3 linked regions of the Oryzias latipes genome follow. The protein of the gene in region 1 purifies or fractionates together with the protein of each later gene. This does not show direct contact. Links are inferred from orthologs where the notes say so. Each region holds a gene or a part of one and is shown in the gene's direction. Other genes may lie near its edges. The genes, in order: dicer1, protein argonaute-1 and prkra.

What was found.
Region 2: the proteins of dicer1 (region 1) and protein argonaute-1 purify together in Homo sapiens (co-immunoprecipitation; 7 studies listed by BioGRID and IntAct, with this or other methods). This does not show direct contact. The link is inferred for Oryzias latipes from reciprocal best matches to the Homo sapiens genes DICER1 and AGO1.
Region 3: the proteins of dicer1 (region 1) and prkra purify together in Homo sapiens (co-immunoprecipitation; 4 studies listed by BioGRID and IntAct, with this or other methods). This does not show direct contact. The link is inferred for Oryzias latipes from reciprocal best matches to the Homo sapiens genes DICER1 and PRKRA.

The regions. Positions count from the first base shown.
Region 1 is NC_019880.2:4,293,002-4,296,646, reverse strand, and holds part of dicer1 (endoribonuclease Dicer), read left to right. Parts: intron 1-670; coding exon 671-776; intron 777-860; coding exon 861-1,036; intron 1,037-1,120; coding exon 1,121-1,844; intron 1,845-1,990; coding exon 1,991-2,140; intron 2,141-2,719; coding exon 2,720-3,343; intron 3,344-3,469; coding exon 3,470-3,645. UniProt on the Homo sapiens protein: Double-stranded RNA (dsRNA) endoribonuclease playing a central role in short dsRNA-mediated post-transcriptional gene silencing.
Region 2 is NC_019874.2:24,542,682-24,547,095, forward strand, and holds the start of protein argonaute-1, read left to right. Parts: upstream 1-1,587; 5' UTR 1,588-2,142; coding exon 2,143-2,167; intron 2,168-4,414.
Region 3 is NC_019879.2:22,833,385-22,837,552, reverse strand, and holds the start of prkra (interferon-inducible double-stranded RNA-dependent protein kinase activator A), read left to right. Parts: upstream 1-1,278; 5' UTR 1,279-1,474; coding exon 1,475-1,530; intron 1,531-2,563; coding exon 2,564-2,739; intron 2,740-3,242; coding exon 3,243-3,324; intron 3,325-3,500; coding exon 3,501-3,576; intron 3,577-3,793; coding exon 3,794-3,911; intron 3,912-3,989; coding exon 3,990-4,084; intron 4,085-4,168. Other genes in the region: protein FAM237A, read left to right, coding at 118-224. UniProt on the Homo sapiens protein: Activates EIF2AK2/PKR in the absence of double-stranded RNA (dsRNA), leading to phosphorylation of EIF2S1/EFI2-alpha and inhibition of translation and induction of apoptosis.

The DNA.
Region 1 (3,645 bases):
GAAACCAACTGCAGATACATTACAGTGGATGAGGATAAATGTATCCGTCATACATGCCCTCGTATAGACCAGTTCGTGAAAATATTGTCTGGCAGTAAACTAGTCTGTGGCCTGGAAAAGGTTGGGGACCACGGAAGTACAACACCAAAGTGAAGCTAATGAGCCCTCAGATCACGTATTGTCACCATATTTTACCCCTAAAATCAGAGAGATCGGTACATATCTCATACATGAGAGAGCCATGAAAATACTCCACTTTGATACAACATCCTAACCTTCTGAGGACGACATCTTGGTTCAGAATAAAAGCGTTTTGCACACTTTTCTGGGGAATTGGCTCTATGTTTTGCGCTCTTGTGAGGTGCAACAACTGTTCAGGATTTTAAAATATTCACATTACTAAGATAGCTTGTTGCTCTCGCCAAAATGGGGGTGTCATCATTTGAAAACACCGCAAATACTACATCTGCAAGTTTAAAACTCTTCAGAATAAAATGTTGTTAAAGCTGAAGGCAATAGTGTGTTGTGTCATGTGACTAGTTAGGAGTGTGGAGAGAAAGTGTAAAAGCTGGTTGTTTTATAATGTTTTTTTTCAAACGTAAATGACAGTTTATAGTAAATGGTTTTGTCATAAAAAGCTTTACTTTAAAGCAGCGTCTCATCCTCTCAGACTGAACTTGTTGACTCCCCGGCACCTGAACCAGAAGGGCAAAGCTTTGCCTCTGAGCAGCGCAGAGAAGAGGAAAGCCAAGTGGGAGAGTCTGCAGAACAAGCAGGTAACGTTCCTGCTGGATTTTTACATTTTTTTGGGGGGTAAAAATAGATTCTGAGGAGCCTGCTGGTTACTCTTTGTTCCTCAGATCCTTGTTCCGGAGCTGTGTGCCATCCACCCCATCCCCGCCTCCCTGTGGAGGAAAGCGGTGTGTCTGCCCAGCATCCTGTACCGCCTCCACTGTCTGCTGACTGCTGAGGAGCTGAGAGCCCAGACTGCCTGTGAGGCAGGAGTGGGGATACAGACCCTCCCCCCTGACTTCAGGTAGCTGCTGCATGCGTTCCATGTTTGACTTTACAGGTCGCAGTGAGATTTCTGCACTCAGGCCTTTTGCGGTTTTTGTGTCAGATATCCAAACTTGGACTTCGGGTGGAAAAGATCCATTGACAACAAAGCTTACAGTTCTTGCTCCGAGTCCTGCAGCGAGGACGGCGTCTGTGTGCATCAGGAGGCTGGAAGCTCAGAACCTGCCCTCTCAGCGCATCCCAGCCGCTCCCTTTCCCCCCAGCCGGAGCCACATTTGGCCCCTGCTCCCAAAAATGGCTCCTGTGTTCTTAATCTAACTAATGGCACCGCTGAGAGTGGCCCCCAAGACGAGCACCTTCACCAACCTGACAGCTGCCAATGCCAGCTAAGCTCCAGCAGCTCTGGGCTGCAGAGCGCTGAATCCGAACAAGTGTCTACCTCAGCTCCTGCGCGGGCTCCTTCCAGCTCCATTTCTCCACAGCCCAGCAGTGAATGTATGCCTGCAAGGACCTCGCACCATACACCTGAAACTACCTCAGGCTGCGAGCTTTCGGCCACAGCTCCCAGAAGCCCTACAGCACCTTCATCGGACTCAACCAACGAGCACCAGCAGGGCTCCACCGTGGGAGACTCCCCCAAGAACCTGGGGCCCAACCCAGGTCTCATACTGCAGGCCCTGACTCTGTCCAATGCCAGTGACGGCTTCAACCTGGAGCGGCTGGAGATGCTGGGAGATTCGTTTCTGAAGCATGCCATCACCACATACCTGTTCTGCACCTATCCTGACGCCCATGAAGGACGGCTCAGCTACATGAGGAGCAAGAAGGTGAGCGGCACAATTCCTGCTCAGAGCTTTCCCAATGAGCTTTCTGTGTTTTCCTACAATCACAAAGTCCAAGCTATGTCAGGATGTTTTACTTTTGCCAACAAAAACCTCACTGAAGCTGCCCTGATTCCCAACCTGACCTCCAGGTGAGCAACTGTAACCTGTACCGTCTGGGCAAGAAGAAAGGGCTGCCAAGCAGGATGGTGGTGTCCATTTTTGACCCCCCTGTTAACTGGCTGCCCCCTGGATATGTGGTCAACCAGGACAAGAGCAGCACTGACAAAGTGGACTCAGAGGTTGGTGCTGTTGATTTTCTACTTCCTGCAGGTTTGGGAAGCGTTTCGTATTTCTCCTTCTTCGTGCAGTTGTGATGCTGTAGGTCCAGTAGAGGGCAGGCTTCCCCCTTTTTTGATGTCTTTGCTCCTAAAGCAAATAGGCTGTGATCATAATCTCTGGAAAATTCTGTTCTAGAAGAGAAGCTTCCTGTTTATTTCAAAATAAAAATAAAAACTTGGGAGGATAAATCTATAATTATAGAGGAAACGGTTAATCTGAAATAATAAAATTTTAAAAATGAGTTTTTTTTTGTCTGTATCAGAAAAAGATCAGGTTGAACCTTTGAGAATCAGTTTTATTAATGTTGTTTATTTACCTCCCAAAATACAAATAAACAAGTTAGTGATTCATCACACCATCAGTTCAGTGTTTAATTTGTCAGAAAAAGCAAGAAAAATGTTTGGCTATTGCACCATCAAGAAAAAGAACTTTATAACCAGCAAATTCATACGGAATAAACAGGAAACAGTGACCACGTTTAACTACACTAATGGAGGTCCATTAGATTCACTGTCGTCTTTTTCCTTCCTATATTTAAGTCCAAAGAGGAGCTTCTGACCAATGGGAGGACTGGGAATGACTTTGATGACGATGACGATGAGGATGACACCGCCGAGGAGCTGGACGAGTTGATGCTGAAAGAAGAGCCAAAAGATGAAGTGAACATGGAGGATGACCTGGAGTACTACAAGGAGCACATCCGCTTTATTGATAACATGCTGCTGGGATCGGGCGCCTTCGGTAAGAAGATCTCTCTGAGCAGCTTCCCCCATTCGCTCAGCCCGGCCTCGGGCTCCTGCTTGGAATCCTCGTATGACTGGAAGGTTCCCAAAAAGCCCTCCCATCCAGCCCAGTTCCCTAGCGATCCTGCGCCCACCGGGATGTCGGCAGAGGAGTTTGACTACAGCTCCTGGGACGCCATGTGCTACCTGGACCCCAGCAAGGCTGGGGAGGAGGACGATTTTGTGGTGGGTTTCTGGAACCCGTCTGAAGAAAACTGTGGCACCGAGCTTGGCAAGCAGTCCATCTCCTATGACCTGCATACGGAGCAGTGCATCGCTGATAAAAGCATCGCAGACTGTGTAGAAGCTCTGCTGGGATGCTACCTGACCAGCTGTGGAGAGAGGGCCGCTCAGATGTTCCTCTGCTCCCTTGGCCTCAAGGTCAGTCAGCATCCCAACACTGCGTGAAATCGTTTGTCCTACATTTTCTCTAAAATCTCTGTCAGTTGAAGATCTAGCGTGTTTGGACTTCCCGTAAAACGTGTTTTGTGTTTCTGTCGACTGCAGGTGTTGCCGTCTGAGCCTGGGACAAGCAGGGCATCCAAAGCCCCAAGCAGCAGGACGTCGGCTGCAGACCTGAGCTACGGCTGGCTGAAGATCCCACCCCGCTGCATGCTGGCCCACCCAGACGCAGAGCGGACGCTTCAGCATCTCATCTCCGGCTTTGAAAACTTCGAAAAGAA
Region 2 (4,414 bases), on another chromosome or scaffold:
AAAAACCAAAAACACGTCCCAGTTTGTTAAAAAATATTAGTCCACTGTTGCAAGCCTTCTATTTTTGTCACATTTCTGTTCACTATTACATTTCACAAGCAGCAGCTAAGCTAGTACTACTAGTAGTGGGTTTCAACGTCAACTGCCAACAGGGCTCGCGACACATCATGCAATGAATTAACTGCTAAATGGTTATTTAAGTAAATAAAAAACAACTCAAAATCCTCCAACAGGAACTCACTCTCAACGGAAGCCGCGTTTTTCATTCAGACCATAGAAGAACAAGTTGTTTTCTCATATTTCACAGCTTCCAACTCATAGCTTTTACGATGACGACCACTTCCGCACAGGAACTACGTGCCGTAAATGCGTCATGACGACTTCCTGTTGCACGTGCATCCTCGGATTTTCAAATCACGCACATTGAGCATTTAATTGCGCGCCGTTGTTTGTTCTAAACACACAAGAAAATTACACGGGTTTCGAATTATATGTATTTTAAAGAATCAAATAAAAACTATGTATATCGATGTATCTTCGCCTATTTAAAACAGCGAGTTCTCCTACTCTTTGTCCAATCGCTTTGCGATGTCAGAGGTTGCAAAATAACCGCCAAAACGAGAGCAATGGTCAAGAAACACAAGTGAATAACTAGAAATGCGCATTCACAGAAGTGCAACTATTCTGAGATAGAACAGAAATGCATTACGAATGTTATGATTAAGCTGTCTACTTTCAGACTAAAAGCAAAAATAAAAGTTGGTTTTGCTAAGGTTTTTTTTCTTTCTACTTTGAATAGGTAATAAATAAATATCTGGGTTTATGTCTGGAGAGATAAATGAAACTCAAGGTATTTTGAAGAAGCAAAAAAAGTACATGCTTATACGAGAAGTCTGTACAAAAATAAATGAACAAAAACACACACAGAGATTTCACATATATCTACGAAGCCTCATAGAGGCTGGATAATAATTATTGATGTCAATATTTTTGAAGGGTAATTTTAATGTTTTTTATTATCTATCTGCTGTTTTTAATATAGCGAGAGTAACAAGGTAATTTACCCCTTGTGGGGAAAAAGGTTCAATTCAATTAATTTCTATTCTATTTTTTCCCCATCAGACAACCCAGTCTCATCCTAATACACAACACATGTCATTTTTCGGCTGACATTTGGAAACATCTCAGCAAAATCAAGCCTCTCCTGCATGTCGCAGACTCCCAACCTTTGACACTTTTGATAAATCTGCTTAGGGGTTTGCTAAGTTTCACGGTTTTCATTGTAAATTCTATTCTTGTACAGTTCATGTTTTGGGACTTTTTGCCATTGATAAAACACGTTGTTATGTGTTGCTTATTTATTTGGATTGATGTTGAAATGTGTCAGGGAATCACTCAATTGAATGCCATTAGACTTAAGTGAAAAAGAGTGCTTCAATGTGCTAAATGTTTAATTTTGTCAACTTTTCAGACTTAGAAACACATTTGACCCTCACATAAAGCTAAAAAATATAGTTAATAGTTTCCCTCACATTTTGTGTATGGATTGATTTTATGAATGATAAAAAAGCTTTTTCTGTGAATCCTCAATTTTGTCTCTTCAAAATATGGGGTGCAGTTCCGCCTTTCACCACTAGAGGTTGACATTAAGTTTGTCAACAGTTTGTTTGGACTTTTTTTGGTGACAAAGAAGAAGTTTAAGATTTTTGGGGGGGTTGAGGTACTGGCCCTTTTTGTTCCGCTGGAGAACCCTGCTTGAACGTTGAGTTGGAGAACACACTAAGTAAGAAATCCCAGCTGCGTGGACCATCGGCAAATCCACCGTCCACGGCGGAATCACGCCGGAGTAATAGCGATCAGAATCAAGGCGTTCCAGCGCTGCCGTAGCAGATTCAGGGTCAACGGGCAAAGCAGCAACTGCCTGCTACTGTCGCGTTAGCCTCAACCCCTCTCTGCGGGTCTGGGGGGGGGGGGGGTCGGCTGGGGAGGTAGGGGGCGGGAGTACACCGAGAAAGGGGACGACTCAACACCGACAGGAGGGGGCTGGAAGTCTGAAACACTTCCAACCTGAAGGGGCCGGCGGTTTGGCCACAGCACCCAGGATTAGCTAGCTTGCACCGTTGCGGCTAAGTGAATGGGATCATGGAGCCGGGACCGTCTGGCGCTGGTAAGTCTTTTTCTTATTATTGCAATCAGTCCAAATGTTTGAGTCATGACTGTATACACAGATTGCATTTGGGGAAGTGAGGCATCCTAGAAAGAGGATGCAGTAAGTTGATGTTAGCGCCTCTGTCTCTGCATCGCTACGTTTTGGGAAGATTAAACTGAGATGGAGTGGACATGGAGAGGAGTCTCATGCAATCTACATGCACCACACCATCATTACAGAAAACAAACAAATACAATATTTAAGAGGAGACTCCGGGTGGTGACAATGTGTCGTCTGCCATGTGCGGGGGCAGATAGGTCGTGGGAATCTCTGAGAGGATGATGGGAACGACGTGAATCTGCGGCTGAATCCCGCCTTCAAGCAGCCGCAGCAGCAGCAGCAGCAGCAGCAGCAGCAGCAGCAGCAGCAGCAGCAGCAGCAGCAGCAGCAGCAGCTGGCTGAGTCCCGCAGGTCCCACGCAGCACAGCATCCCCCCTTTATCATGCATGTCTTAAACACCATTTGCCTAGCATGCAACCTCAACCCTACCACCTGCAAAGATCGATCAATTATTTACATGAAAACTAAAATCAACAGTAATTAGATTGTGTGTGTTAGCAGGAGGAGGTAGTTTTGTTCTGGTGGACTTGGAAAAGCTCGTGTATTTACAGTAAACTGGATGTCAATGGGCTTTCTCCCTCTCGTCCTGCATAATTCTCGTTCAAATTTATCTTTAATTGGCAGTTTTCTTAGTGAACACTGAGCCGTAGAAGCAAGAATTGAACAAAAAAGGTTGTGTTTTACTTAACTTATCTCGTAGTTGGGAAAAGTATTGGATGCTTTACTTTTCTCCACTTTTGTAAAACTTTTTTTGTTTGTTAACTTTATCTTTCACTTGGAGTAGCTCTTATTTTCTTAATTCAAGAGGACCGGCGATCTAAAATCACATTGTCCTGCTGGTCTAAATTTTGAATGGAATAGACTAGTTTTTATTTTATTTGTGATTGGAGGGGGGAGGGCCCCTGGGGGCCCTTTATTTCAAAGTCTGCTTTTGTGTTTGAAGTGTGACAGTTGTGTGGCATTTTCCTGAAACCGATTAGACATGTTTACCACACGGTTGATTGCCAAATCAGATCTTTTGAGCTAAAGTGTTGATAGGTGGACAGGACTTTCCATCCTAACAGCATCAGTTGCTATTTTTTATTTTGAGATTTTTAATCATAAAGATTTAAAAGTAACATTTATATATAATATGATGATCTGGAGGTGATAGGGTCATCTTTTAGAAATTAAGTTTAAAACTAAAGATTTTCTTTAATTCAAAGTATTGAAAAAAAGTATTTAAAAACATTTACGCTATGTTACTTTTAAATCTAGAAGGTATTTCTTCATGTCTGGGTCTTTTTTTTTTGCTAGGTGGTTTAAAAAGCAGCAGGGAGTGTCTTTATATTGTAATATTTAAGTTGCACTACCCCAAAAGAAACTGCTATTGTGCTTGTGATATGTGAAAGCCCTGGCTCTGCTCTTCACCATCTGCCTTCACTGGCACAAGGGGGAAGTCTGCGTCATTGTGTGTGTGTGTGAGTGTGCGACAGTCCCGGCACACGCACGTTTGCGCGTGCACATGCTTTCTTGCACCTAGAAGAGTCAGCATGGTCACCACATGTCCGGTGTCTGTGTTTACTGTTTTTGTCAGATGTGTGAGTCCACACCAGAGGAGGATCCACACTTTGAGCGGAGAGCAGCTTTCTGTGTTTTGCAGGAGTTTTCTTGAGTTAAAGCTTGGTGGCCACATAAACGTATTGATCCGATTATTCCAAACTCCGGTTTAAGACGCTTTGGCGCCTCTGCCTGATGTGGGAACGTGATGCGTTGGAGCAAAGAGGCCAAGGTCTTCAGCATGACCGCAGCAGCACCCCTGCCTCCTCCCATCTCCTCCTACAGTTCTACTCATGCAGACACACACAAGTCCCCTGATATCCATGACAATTCTGTGTTGCCGTGGTGTCTCCATGGTGAGGCTGGGAATGTAGAGGGGGGCCCCCCGTGTTTGTGTGTATGAGTGCGTTCATCGTAGCAGGGGCGCTCCCTCTGCCATACACCCGTGTATTTCTGTGTGTAAGATGGAGGAGCAGGGCAGCTGGGGTCTTTGTTGTGATGGTGGACGGCTGCTCTCTGGGGACCCAGAGGTTACGGCAGTGGGGCCCTCTTAGACAGGAGTCACTACTAGCACCCATTTAAGCAGCCCCCCAAAAACCTTTCGAT
Region 3 (4,168 bases), on another chromosome or scaffold:
CCAAAAACTGTTGACTGCCTGTTCCATGACAATAAACATCATCCTTTCTTGAATGAAAGCATTTTTAGCTACTGGATAAAGGCTGAACCTCTGCGTGTGTGTGTGTTTCTCTCACAGAGTCCTTCCGATTCAACAGTTCGGGTGTGAACTCCCGCGCTTGGATCAGTGTGAGAGTCAGACGCAGAGGACACATCACAACCCTGAAGACAAACCGTGATAAATGACTGCTGGGAAATCCACATAGACAGCCTTTTATTTAAATAAAAACGCTCCATGCAAGACTAAATGTTTTTTTTTTTTTACTTCTTTATGCAATATCTACAAAATGTTTCAGATAAATGCCATGAGTTGAGGTTAAATCCTAATTTTCCACTTTTTATTCAGTAACAATTAATTTTTTGAATGTTTATTGTTAGTCCATCTAATGCACTAAACATCCTTTTCAAAAGGTGCATGTTTCCTGTCCTAACTGTATGTTCTTGACTGTGCAAATAAAAATATGCTGTGAAACCACTGTATGGGGTGCATTTGTTACTAGAGAAAATAAGAGGAAGAAGATGTTTAAGCAGAAGAAATGCAAATTTTCTAGTGTAGTTAAAACTATATTAGGCATCCTAATCTAGTTAAAACTAGACAGGTAAAGCTGGTTAAAACCCAAGACTCTGTTCTCAGACTCTATGTAACATTTGGAATCCTATTACCAAACAACAAAAAAAAGACTTTCTTGTAATTAAATCTTCTGCCTTGCTAAATCTATTATAGTCTGCATAAAAAAAAGAGTGCTGAAAAGAAAATTCATTTTCTATACATTTTTGGTTAAGCGTTAGAACATGTCAACACACTTATGTGTGAAAAAATGTACAACACATCAAAAGAATTCGAAATAAATGGGATTTGAAGTATATGGGAAAATAAATAACATTTTGTAATCTGGTTGACCATTAAACCCCTCATAACGAGATTTGTTTTTTTTCTTCTTTTAATTCTTTAACAGTTTGAATAAGTTATTCAAGATACAATTCTGCCGATTATTACCTTAAAAAAGCCTTGTATTGCTAAATTTGTGCTTATTTTATTTATTTATTTATGTACAATATCTGTTCTGTGTTTATTCTATCGGGATGAAATTACGTTTTTTTTCCTTCTATGTTCTGTCCAGAGGTTCTGTTATGTTCAATCAATAGTTTTTTATTTTTAATTTTTAAAAGGTTTCACCACTAGAGGGCACTAACATGTTTTTGTTGTTTAGGATTATTGACCCATCGTTGACCCGGATGTTGATGTCGGACTTTTCTTTTTGTCTTCCGGCGACGCTCTAACTGTAGGGAGTGAAAGGGAAAGGGAATGAAAACATTATTCCCTTATGTTTTAGCCAACTGCGATCAAATGTCCTGGTTCTACATCAAACCATCGTGTTGGAGTTTTAGTTAAGGGTAAAACAATAAGTATCCGGGTGTCAGTCTGACCTTTCAAAATGTCTCAGGAAGGATATCAGACACCAGCCATGATGACTGCTACCGCTGAACCGAGGTTGGTGCTTTGTTATTACCAGTTTATAGATGTTTTTTGTTGTTGTTACAACCCAATGAAAACTGCATTTATATTGTTTACAACACTGCAGTTATGTACGATGGGTTTTTGCTAAAAAAAAAACGGTTCTGGAAAGATTCTTTTCGTTGATTCTTTGGGGTTTTGTGTGCTCTAAATTAAAGTTGGAATAATAAGAGTAAGGGTAAGAGTTCAAATCTCTTTACATGACTTTAGGGGTTTTTAAATAGCCAAATGAGTCATTTAGGCTTGATTTATAGCGTCTGTTTGCCGAAAGGAGAATTGCAAAAAACAAACAAAACAAACAACAACAAAAAACCCACGAGTTTTGTTATATGGTCACATAGGCGGGAGTCATTAAGCCTAGCAATTGGCAGGTTTAAAAAGAATTACGGTAACTCTAACTAGGAATCAATTTTCTTGGGGTGTGCTTTCAAAAGACTCAGCATGTTTATTTATTTATTTTTAAATATATAAAATTGCGGTATTTTCTATTGAAGTGAGATTCATGAAGATCCAGCACATCACGGTCCTGAATGTGCTGGATGATCATGAAGTGAGACGGCGCCGGGCTCTCAACCACAAATAAGCTCTTTTTCCAATTGCATTTTTTCATCTGCTCCTGATTCACAACGACTTGTATAAAGAAATACTCAGAAATACAAATGTAAGCTTAATTTTCTTTATATTTGTCCTCCATCATCAGAAAAATCCCATAAGAACATGTTAAAAATACCAAAAACACAAATGTTTTGAAGTGGGTCTTTAACAGTTGCTGCATTCAGTCCAACTTTGGAGACATCATCATTGATGCAAATGTGCATCAAATCACTTCGATGCTAAAACAGAAGTGATTTGTTTTATAGCTGGAAATAAATGTAGTCCTCAAGGGGTTAAGTTGGTCATTTATTCTGTTGAAATGTTTTTCTGCTGTCATACTGAACGCCTAAATTTTTATCTTGGGGATTCAGTTTCTATTCTTCTTTAATATTTTGGTGTACTTGTTTTTCACCAGCCTAAACCCAGTTGAACCTCTGTGGAATAACCCTGGGAAGACTCCAATTCAAATCCTGCATGAGTATGGGATCAAAAGTGGGAACCATCCCATGTTCATGATGGAGAAGGCTGAAGGCCAGGCTCACCAGCCCAGCTTTGTCTTCAGCGTGACAGTCGGTGACGTCACATGCGTAGGTATGCTAAAGTGTCATGGTCTGGGTCGGCTCTGCTTTAAATCTGTGCAGGAAATAACGAGATCAAGATTATATCTCATACAGCAACATGAGTTCTGTAGTGTTGGAAATCTTAATCACAGTCACAGATTATCAGCCTTCCAACAGCCCAATGACCAAAAACACACGGTCAAAAAATTACTTCACTGTTCTGAAGTGACCCACTTTGAGTCCTGATCTGAATCCTTTGAATGTGTGTGAAAAGAGCTGAAACACGTCGTCTGGGGACGGCGAGAGCTGTTTGTTCACAAGCTCTGCAAACAACAATTCTGGTCACATCTGCTTTTTAGTCAAATAGTTTTCAGAGAAAAAATATACCGTACTTTAAAAACGCTTGTTTTTATTTCAAATAAGCAATATAGGGGTACATATAAAATGCACTTGTTCATAAAATGCTGCTTATTAGGATGTTGCGTGCAGAGATAAATCTGGAGAATAAAGTGGATTGATATGTTTTTATTTCAGGCCAGGGTCCCAGTAAAAAAGCTGCGAAGCACCAAGCTGCAGAGGCTGCTCTGAATATTCTGTACACAGACGCTGGAGCTGGGTAAGTAGACCTGAACTGGTGAGCCGGCGCATATTTGGGTTCTTGCTTGTCCAAAATAATCTCCTTTAAGTTTTCCTTGTTTGCTTTAGCCAAATATACAAGTAGTTTTAGACATTCTTTATACAGAAATGTGACTCATTTTAAGTGATGATTGATGAATCTTTGATGCTCGACAGACATGTTGCTGCGACGGGTCTAAGCAACGCCGCCGAAACAAACAACCATCTTCCTAATTCTGTAGGACTACTCCAGGTACTCAGTCTCTTTTTGCTTTTGTCCTTTTTTATTGTAGAACATTTGATCAGGTTTTTTGAGCCTTAAAATAATTGCAATTATGAACATTCATAATGATAAACCTACAGAAGAGTTTTTACTAATCCCATTTAGAAATATCAATGAATTTCTTAAAAACTCAATCATTTTTTTTGTATGCGTTGAAATCCTCTCTCCTCCTCTTTGTTTCATGCAGGAGTTGGCGTTGCAGAGAGGTTGGCGTCTCCCTGAGTACACAGTTTTACGGGAGACCGGCCCCCCACACATCAGAGAGTTTACAGTCACCTGCAGACTGGAGTCTTTATCAGAAAAAGGTATGAGCATTTACAAAAGAAAAAATCCTTGCGTGTTTCAGTTTTTTCTTTCTCCTAAAGTTGTGTTTTGTGTTGCAGCTGCAGGGAATTCCAAAAAGGCAGCAAAGAAGGCTGCCGCAGAGAAAATGATGGCAAAGCTTCAGAGTTTGTCAGGATGTTCAGAAGTCACATGGGTCAGTGGAGACTCCGTCCTCTGCAGAAACATCTCTGCACCGCTTTTCAGGAAACGTTTCTTTCTCCACTGTCTTTTGATTTCC